Rattus norvegicus: one gene and its partner. The protein of the gene in region 1 interacts with the protein of each later gene in a pairwise test. Links are inferred from orthologs where the notes say so. Each region holds a gene or a part of one and is shown in the gene's direction. Other genes may lie near its edges.

What was found.
Region 2: the proteins of Hap1 (region 1) and Hmox2 interact in a two-hybrid assay, tested with the Homo sapiens proteins (2 studies listed by BioGRID and IntAct). The link is inferred for Rattus norvegicus from reciprocal best matches to the Homo sapiens genes HAP1 and HMOX2.

The regions. Positions count from the first base shown.
Region 1 is NC_086028.1:85,783,684-85,787,591, reverse strand, and holds the start of Hap1 (huntingtin-associated protein 1), read left to right. Parts: upstream 1-1,088; 5' UTR 1,089-1,110; coding exon 1,111-1,501; intron 1,502-2,440; coding exon 2,441-2,517; intron 2,518-2,843; coding exon 2,844-2,960; intron 2,961-3,072; coding exon 3,073-3,251; intron 3,252-3,396; coding exon 3,397-3,496; intron 3,497-3,601; coding exon 3,602-3,668; intron 3,669-3,908. UniProt on the Homo sapiens protein: Originally identified as neuronal protein that specifically associates with HTT/huntingtin and the binding is enhanced by an expanded polyglutamine repeat within HTT possibly affecting HAP1 interaction properties.
Region 2 is NC_086028.1:11,334,729-11,338,636, reverse strand, and holds the start of Hmox2 (heme oxygenase 2), read left to right. Parts: upstream 1-1,024; 5' UTR 1,025-1,131; exon of another isoform or gene 1,132-1,341; intron 1,342-3,908.

The DNA.
Region 1 (3,908 bases):
GACACGGACACATTCGTACACCACATACAAAATATATTAAAATGAAATATTTTCAAAAAGGTGAAATCAATAGGATTGGCAATTGGAGGATGGTGGAGGAGAAGGGAGAACATCAAGAACGATTTTGAGATCTGAGTCCATGAGTCACCATTTCCTTTTAGCCTGTCTCGCAGTCTAAAAGCATAGACATGGCTACTGCCCTCCCTAGCTCCCACCCCCCTCTCCCAGTTCATTCAGGACCGAGAGCAAGCTTCCAAAGCATCTATTTCTCTGGGGAGCCCACCGTCCATGAACTGAAGAGCATAGGTAAAGTCGTGAAGACCGACATTGATCCTTTCAGACCCCGGGATAACGGGTGTTTTGGTGTGTGTGTGTGTGTGTGTGTGTGTGTGTGTGTGTGTGTGTACACGGAGGTCTGGAAGAGTCGTCACAGAGAAACATTTAAGTAGGATCCCCTCCGAAGATGCTTGGACTATATATAGGCCTTGCGAATTAGGGTTGGAGATAAAAGAACGAGTGGTGAACGCAGTAAGATGGAAGGCGTCTAGGGGCGAGTGCGGGAGTGTGAGCTCGAGGACCTGTGGATGACACGCAACACGTTGAAAGCCATACCGGAGTTTGGATTTCTCGCTTAATCCACCTGGGAAGACACAGGCGTACTGCCTCGATTCTCAGGTCACCTCGGAATGTATTCAATGTTGTGTAGAACAACAGAGAAAGCCCCTGGAAGCTGGGGTGACGGGAGCGCGCGCGGGAGGGCTGGGAGGGGGGGGTTGTTTCTAGGCAGAAGCTACGGGTCCCTCTACTCAAGTCCAGGGAAGCCGCGGCTTTGGACAGAACCATTCTCAGAAGATGGAAGGGAAGAGAAACCCATCATCGTGAACTCGATCCCATGGAAAAAACTGGGCACTCTCTCATCTCTTTCTTTCTTCTTCATTCATTTACGTCCTATTCCGTCACCACTGGCTGCTTTCTCGTAGGATCCCGAGTCCTCAGCACCACTAATTGATCAACGGTCACCCCTAGCGCCACACGTGGTACAGCCCAGTGGCGCCCGCTCCGAGCACAGGTTATAAAGGCTCGGCTGCGACAGCGGACTGCAGAGTCAAGATGCGCCCGAAGGAGCAGGTGCAGAGCAGTGCCGGGGACGGGACGGGGTCGGGGGACCCAGCAACAGGCACCCCCACGACCCAGCCTGCAGCGGATCCCGCTCCGGAGCCCTCGGCAGAGCCCAAACCTGCTCCGGCGCAGGGAACCGGGTCCGGACAGAAATCAGGATCCCGAACCAAGACAGGAGGAAGCTTTTGTAGGTCCAGGATCCGTGGCGACTCGGACGCACCATGGACCCGCTACATATTCCAGGGGCCTTACGGTCCCCGGGCTACTGGCCTGGGCACTGGAAGGGCTGAGGGAATCTGGAAGACGCCAGCCGCGTACATCGGCCGAAGGCCCGGCGTGTCCGGCCCTGAGCGCGCGGCGTTTATTCGAGAGCTGCAGGAAGGTAAACTGAGTCTCGGGGATCCCACACTGGGCGTTATTAGGGCATCTCTAATAACCACCGACTCAGGCGCCCCGCCCCCTTGTGGCTCTCAGTCCCACCTTTCCACCACCCCTGCGAGACCACTGTCCGCCGTGCCTGTTTGGTTTCCCTTTCCCCATCTTTTCCTCTGTCTCAGGTTCCCCGATTATTGTAGGTGCGTCAGATCTAGGGCTGTCTTGCTCTCCCCGCCCCCCTCTTCGCGCCTGTTGCTGTGGCAGATCTGCGCACTCTCAATGCCCCCTCCCCGTCTACCGCAGTGCCAGCAGAGGGGCGGGGGTTGCGGGTGCGCTGCCGGGTGCGCTTTGAGCCTGCGCTAGCCCGCAGGACCAGCCAGCGTGGGTGGGTAGAGCGGGGGGCGGGGCGGGAGCCTTTGACACTGCTTGGCCGGAGGGGTCTGGGTCGCGCTTTCCTGAAGCAGGATTGAAGCGGGAGGAGTGGGCGGGGCACTGGCCTTCTGTCCCTCCTCTTCTGGGCGGGGCAATTTTAGGCTGAGGTGCCCGCTTCTGGTGCTGAAGAAGTAAGTCTACTTGGCCCTCCTGTCACATGCAACAGGTTTAGGATGGGTTACGTGCATCTGTTACGATCGAGGAGTCTCCAGTGAGCTGGCTAAGCTGCCGACTGAGTCAGGCATGATGAATCCAGTATTTCCCCTGACTTCTTATCTCGAGGGACCAGAGACCCAGGGGTCTTGAAAGTCTGGTTCCTGAGCCTGGAGGATGGTTTTGCCTTTACAGCACCCAGGCCCCTCCTGAGAAGGCAGGAGTGCTGAGATCCGGAGCTGTGAAGAGGGTGTTAGGGCCAGATAGAACGCAGTCTCACCACTTTTGTTGTGAGGGATGTAGGGGGCTGTGGGCAGCCTCGGCTCCTTTCCCTGATCCACTCAGGCCTTTCCTCCTGCAGCGCTGTGTCCTAATCCACTGCCCAGGAAGAAGATCACCGAAGATGATATCAAAGTGATGTTGTATTTGCTGGAAGAGGTGGGTACCGCCTTGCCTTCTTCACTCAGGCCAGCCCTCATTTTAGCTCTTCCCTACAGGACTTAGGGCTTTTGTCTGTTTTCTGCTTGCCTGGGTGCCAACTTGAGGGCCCCTTTCCTGAAAGGCACATAGATTTCAGAGGACCAAATCTGGGCTGATCTTTTTCCTCAGGATGAGAAACTGAGTCAGACCCCAGAGTTGGTTAATAGTCTTTGGTTTAGTACTTGGACGGCTGGGTGCTGGGGCAACTTTCTTCTTGTGGCTTAGCCCCTGCTCTCGCCCTCCTGTTTGGGAGAAGTATGGAATGGTTGGCTCTCCTTTTGCAGAAAGAACGGGACCTGAACACAGCCGCTCGCATCGGCCAGTCCCTGGTGAAACAGAATAGTGTTCTGATGGAGGAGAATAACAAGCTGGAAACCATGCTGGGCTCAGCCAGAGAGGAGGTATCTGGGCTCCTAAGGACCAAGAGGAGGGTTCGGCTTGTTCCCTCCCCCAACCAGCACCTGTTCTGCCCCTCCGTGCTCACCTTTCTGCGGCCCCTTTCTCCTGCCCTAGATTTTACATCTCCGGAAGCAGGTGAACCTGCGAGATGATCTCCTTCAGCTCTACTCGGACTCCGATGACGATGAGGAGGATGAAGAGGATGAGGAAGAGGAAGAGGGAGAAGAGGAGGAACGAGAAGGACAGAGGGACCAAGATCAGCAGCACGACCATCCCTATGGTGCCCCCAAGCCGTGCGTGTTCTGCCTTTGTGCCTCGGTTGTCCGTTTGTAAACGGGCATGGGCAGTTAGCCTGCTGGCATTGCCTCGTCTGGGGAAGCCTTGGGGGACTGGGATCCTCCACCCCTTACAGTCTGACTCTCATTGCCCCCTTGCCAGGCCCCCTAAGGCTGAGACGCTGCACCACTGCCCACAGCTGGAAGCCCTGAAGCAGAAGCTGAAACTGCTGGAAGAAGAGAACGACCATCTTCGAGAGGAGGTGAGGACAGGGAGGGGGCGTGCCCTTGGGCAGGGGAGGGTGACTGACGGCGGGGGTGGGGGGGGATGGTGGCGGCCTTACCCCTTCCTATTCCCCTTCCTCCAGGCCTCCCACCTTGACAACCTGGAAGACAAAGAACAGATGCTCATTCTGGAGTGTGTGGAACAGTTTTGTACGTGACACTGTAATCCGGGGAAAGGGCGCTGTCCCAAGAGCTGATAGGAAGAACTCAGGGTTTGGGGTCTGGAGATGCAGTCCTGGCTCCGGCACTTTGCCGCTGTGTTAGCACGGCCAAATTCCTCGGCTTCTCTGAATCTTCATCTTTACAATGAGGACTGATAACCCCGGCCTGCTCTTCATCCCCTCAGGGTTTATGAGGGTCAGGAGAAGCATCACCGTTGAGCATGGAGAT
Region 2 (3,908 bases), about 74 Mb from region 1:
AAAGAAAGAAGAAAGCTGTTTTATTTTTGAATTAGCCGCACTTGAGTGTTGGTATGTGCCTGTGCTAGCAGAGGCCAGAAGAGGGCGTCAGATCCCCTGAGGTTGGAGTTACAGGCAGTTGCTAGACAACCAACGTAGGTGCTGGGAATGGAATTGGCCCCTCATCCTTAGCATTACTTACTCCGAGCTACATCTCTAGTCCCCACAAACAAGGTCCACACAGAAGACAGACAGGGGACTGTTAGCAGAGGTGGACAGAGACCTGAGTGAAGATGATCGTTTGTACTGGAACTTCCTAGGGCTGGCTCGCGTGTTATGTGCCAAGTTGTCAAGGGGCTTGTGTGTTAAGTGCCAAGTGGTTAACTTGGCTCCTACATACATGCACAGATATAAGAGGATAAGCAAGAAAATGATGTCACTGCAAAGCGTTCATTCTTTTTTCTTTTTTTCTTTTTGCAGTGTTAAGGATCTAATAATTGTATTCCAATGAGTTACATCCCCAATCCTGTTGTGTTTTTGTCTTTTTGATAAATGCTCACACTGTTGCTCTTGAATTCTCCTGCCTCAGTCCCATCCCTGTCCCCCCACTCCTCCCCCGAGTGCTAGGATTCCAGGCTTGAGCCCCGATTCTCTCTCTCTCTTTTTAAAGATTTATTTATTTTTATCTGAGTACACCGTAGCTATCAGACACACAAGAAGAGGACATTGTATCCCATGTGGTTGCTGGGAATTGAACTCAGAACCTCTGGAAGAGCAGTCAGTGCTCTTAACCACTGAGCCATCTCTCCAGCCCAGCAGTCAGTGCTCTTAACTGCTGAACCATCTCTCCTGCCCCGAGCCCCGATTCTCGATCAACAAACAGTTGGCTTTTACTGACACGCTTCCTTCCTCTCGGGTTAATGTTACCACTCCCGAAGCAGTCTTGGAAGGCAGTGTCAGCTTGGCCAGGAGCCTCCTGCTAGCTGCCGCGCGTCTGGAGGCGTGGCCTATGGCTCCGCCCCTCGCTGCGTGCGCACGTCCTGCCGTCCTGCCGTCTTGCCGCCCTGCGGTCCTCGCGCTCGCCGGCTCGGCTGCGACGGTGCGGAGGGAGTCGCTGACGCGGAGACTGACTGACCTACAGAGCGGCTGAGGGTGAGTGGCCCGCTCGGTCCCCAGTCCTCCCCTCCCAGGTCCTAACCTGGCGGAGGCCTTCTTCGAAAGTTCTGCTCGGCTTTCTCTCGGTGACTCGCCCTCAGCCTGAGGGGACATCGGGCGGGGGCTGGCCGGAAGCGGGCTGAAGCGGGCGAGCGAGCAGGAGACTAGGGGTCGGAGAGGGGGCACCGAGCGGGCCTTGAGCGTCAGGTGAGCCCGAAACTGCGGACATCGCGCTCTAGAAGACCTTTGAGCCCCATCCCCTTGAGTCCTCTGGTGTTCCCGTAGGGCACAGCTCCTCCCAGCGTCACGAATACTCTTGAGGAGGTGACTCCGGGGTCGAAGTTAGTGCAGCAGTCCAGCCTACCTGAAGTCCCAGAGGAGCCTGGGGCGTGGTGGCCTTCTTGGTCCGGCCTTCAGTGGCTCCCCTCGGTGCCAAGAACCCTTAGAATCCCTTTAGGGACTTGATGAGTGAGTGACCTGTGGTGCGGAGTGCAAGACTCAGCCGTAGATGTAGCCGGTTGGTCTGGACCAGGAGGTCACCTATCACCTCCAAAGCACAGGTCTCCAGGTGACTTAATTGCCCTGTAAAAACTGCCGGGACCGCCTTGTACACTGTTTGCACAAGGGCTGTCTGAGCCATGCCATTTAAATCGGTTCTGAAGGACCAGTTGTTGTGGCCTGTGGCTGTTCATCCTTACTGTGTTCTAGTGCTGGCGCCACAAACTCAACCAGAGGGAGTGTTGCCGAGAGACATAAACACCATGAAATGTCCCATTGAGGGAGAGCGTTTGCTCTTCAATCCTTTCTAAGTCCTTGAGTGTTTCACCACCTATAAAATGAGATTATTGAGAGACTCGTGAAGTAAATCCACTAATATCCCACGGGCAAGATAACGGCACAGACGATCGCAGTTCTGCTTGGGCATCCTGTGATTTTTCAGAAGTGGATTAGAGATAAGAAATGGTTATGTTGTTCAAGTGGTCATACTAGCCTTAAACAGTCCAGCCGTATAGGAGATTTTGTGCTTTCCTGCTCCTGGTATGGTGCTAATGTTTATAGTAGTTATTATAAACATCATATAATATGTGACATTATTATTAATAAAGATTTTTTTTTTGGTGGTGGTGGAGTTTGAACATGATGAGCATGTATTTTACTAGTGAACCCTCAACACTACCCTGTGTTTTCTGTTTTGAGAAGGAAATCTTGCTATGTAGTCTACACTGACTGAATTTGAGATCCTCCTGCCTCAGTCTTCTAACTGCTAGGATTATGAACTCAGCCTAAATCTTTTTTTTTTACCCCTTTGAGTCAGGATCTCTCAAATTATTTAGTTCTGTCCTCGAATTGGCTCTATAGATAAGCCTCAACTCACAGAGACCCTATCGCCTCTGCCTCTTCAGTGCTGGGATTAAGGTGTGTACATCATGCCGGGAGGTAACTGTATGTTTTGTTTACAGCGTTTATCAATGTTTTTAGTTTCTTTGAAGAGTAAAAAGTATTTATTCAGGTTTTTTTTTTTCCCCAGAAACATCACAAGACATGATATGTTTGCTAGGAGTTCCCAGTTCAGTAGGATATTTATAAATTCACTTGATAAAATTGTAAACATTTTCTGATAAAGTGCCCGGGCCAAAACACTGACTAGAGTTGCAGGTCCGTGAGCCTTGGAAAGTTGCATGCTCACTGAGTGACCTGATCCCACTGGGGATCTGAAGAGGAAATCCTGAGGGTCCTCTGGTTTGCCTTGAATTTCTTTTTTTCTTTGCTTAGGGCAGTCAGTTGAGATGTTGAGATATAGCGAATACGAGTGCTCTGCAATTGATAAAGCCACTGAGCTGCAGAGGTCAAATGTTAATTGTCTTTAACTTAGAAGTTTTCAAACTTGCAGACTCTCATAGTTGGGCCTACCTTGATTTTTAAAAATTTTCCCTTAGTAGCTGATCCTAAAGGACTTTGCATCAGTATTGCACCAAAAACTGGAGCATCACCTTCCCAGAAGGCAGATCTTTTAGAAACTGGAATTGCATAATTCAGAGCAAAATTCGTAGTTTCGGTTGTCACTCCTTGGAGAAACGAAACAAACTAAAACCCCAGATATGCTTCTTTGAATCTTACTGGCCATAGTTAAGTAAAAAGTTAAATGTATTTCTTTTTTTGAGGCTTGGGGAACAACCAGTGGGAATTTCTCTGGTATGAGAGATGATGATCTTCTGTTTTAATCCCAGCATTTGGAGTTGTTCGAGGACATCCTTAGCTGCTTATGGGCATTGGTGTTTTTCCTGCGTTTGTGTCTGTGTGAGAGTGCCTGATCCCCTGGAACTGGAGTTATAGACAGTTATGAGCAGTGCTCTTAACTGCTAAGCCATTTCTCCAACCCCCAATTATCAAATCTTAGCAATAGAGATTCTCTTGCATGGCAAAATTTGTAGCCAGGCATTGGTTTTCAGACTTTTTGTAGTATCTGAGCTGCAGTTGGGGTGCAAGATAAATCTACTTGAAAATCCAGGAGCAGCCAGACAGTGGTGGCGCATGCCTTTCATTCCATCGCTTAGGGGCAGAGGCAGGCAGATCTCTGAGTTCAAGGCTAGCCTGGACTACAGAAAGAGTTCCAAGACATCCAGGACTGCACAGAGAAACCTTGTCTTGAAACAGTAACAACAAAATTGTGTGTGTGCATGATGTTTTATGTGTGCTTGTTGGGGAGGTGAGAGCACAGCTTATAGACGTTCTCCTTCCACAGAGATTCTAGGGGTCAAGCTCTACGGTTAAAC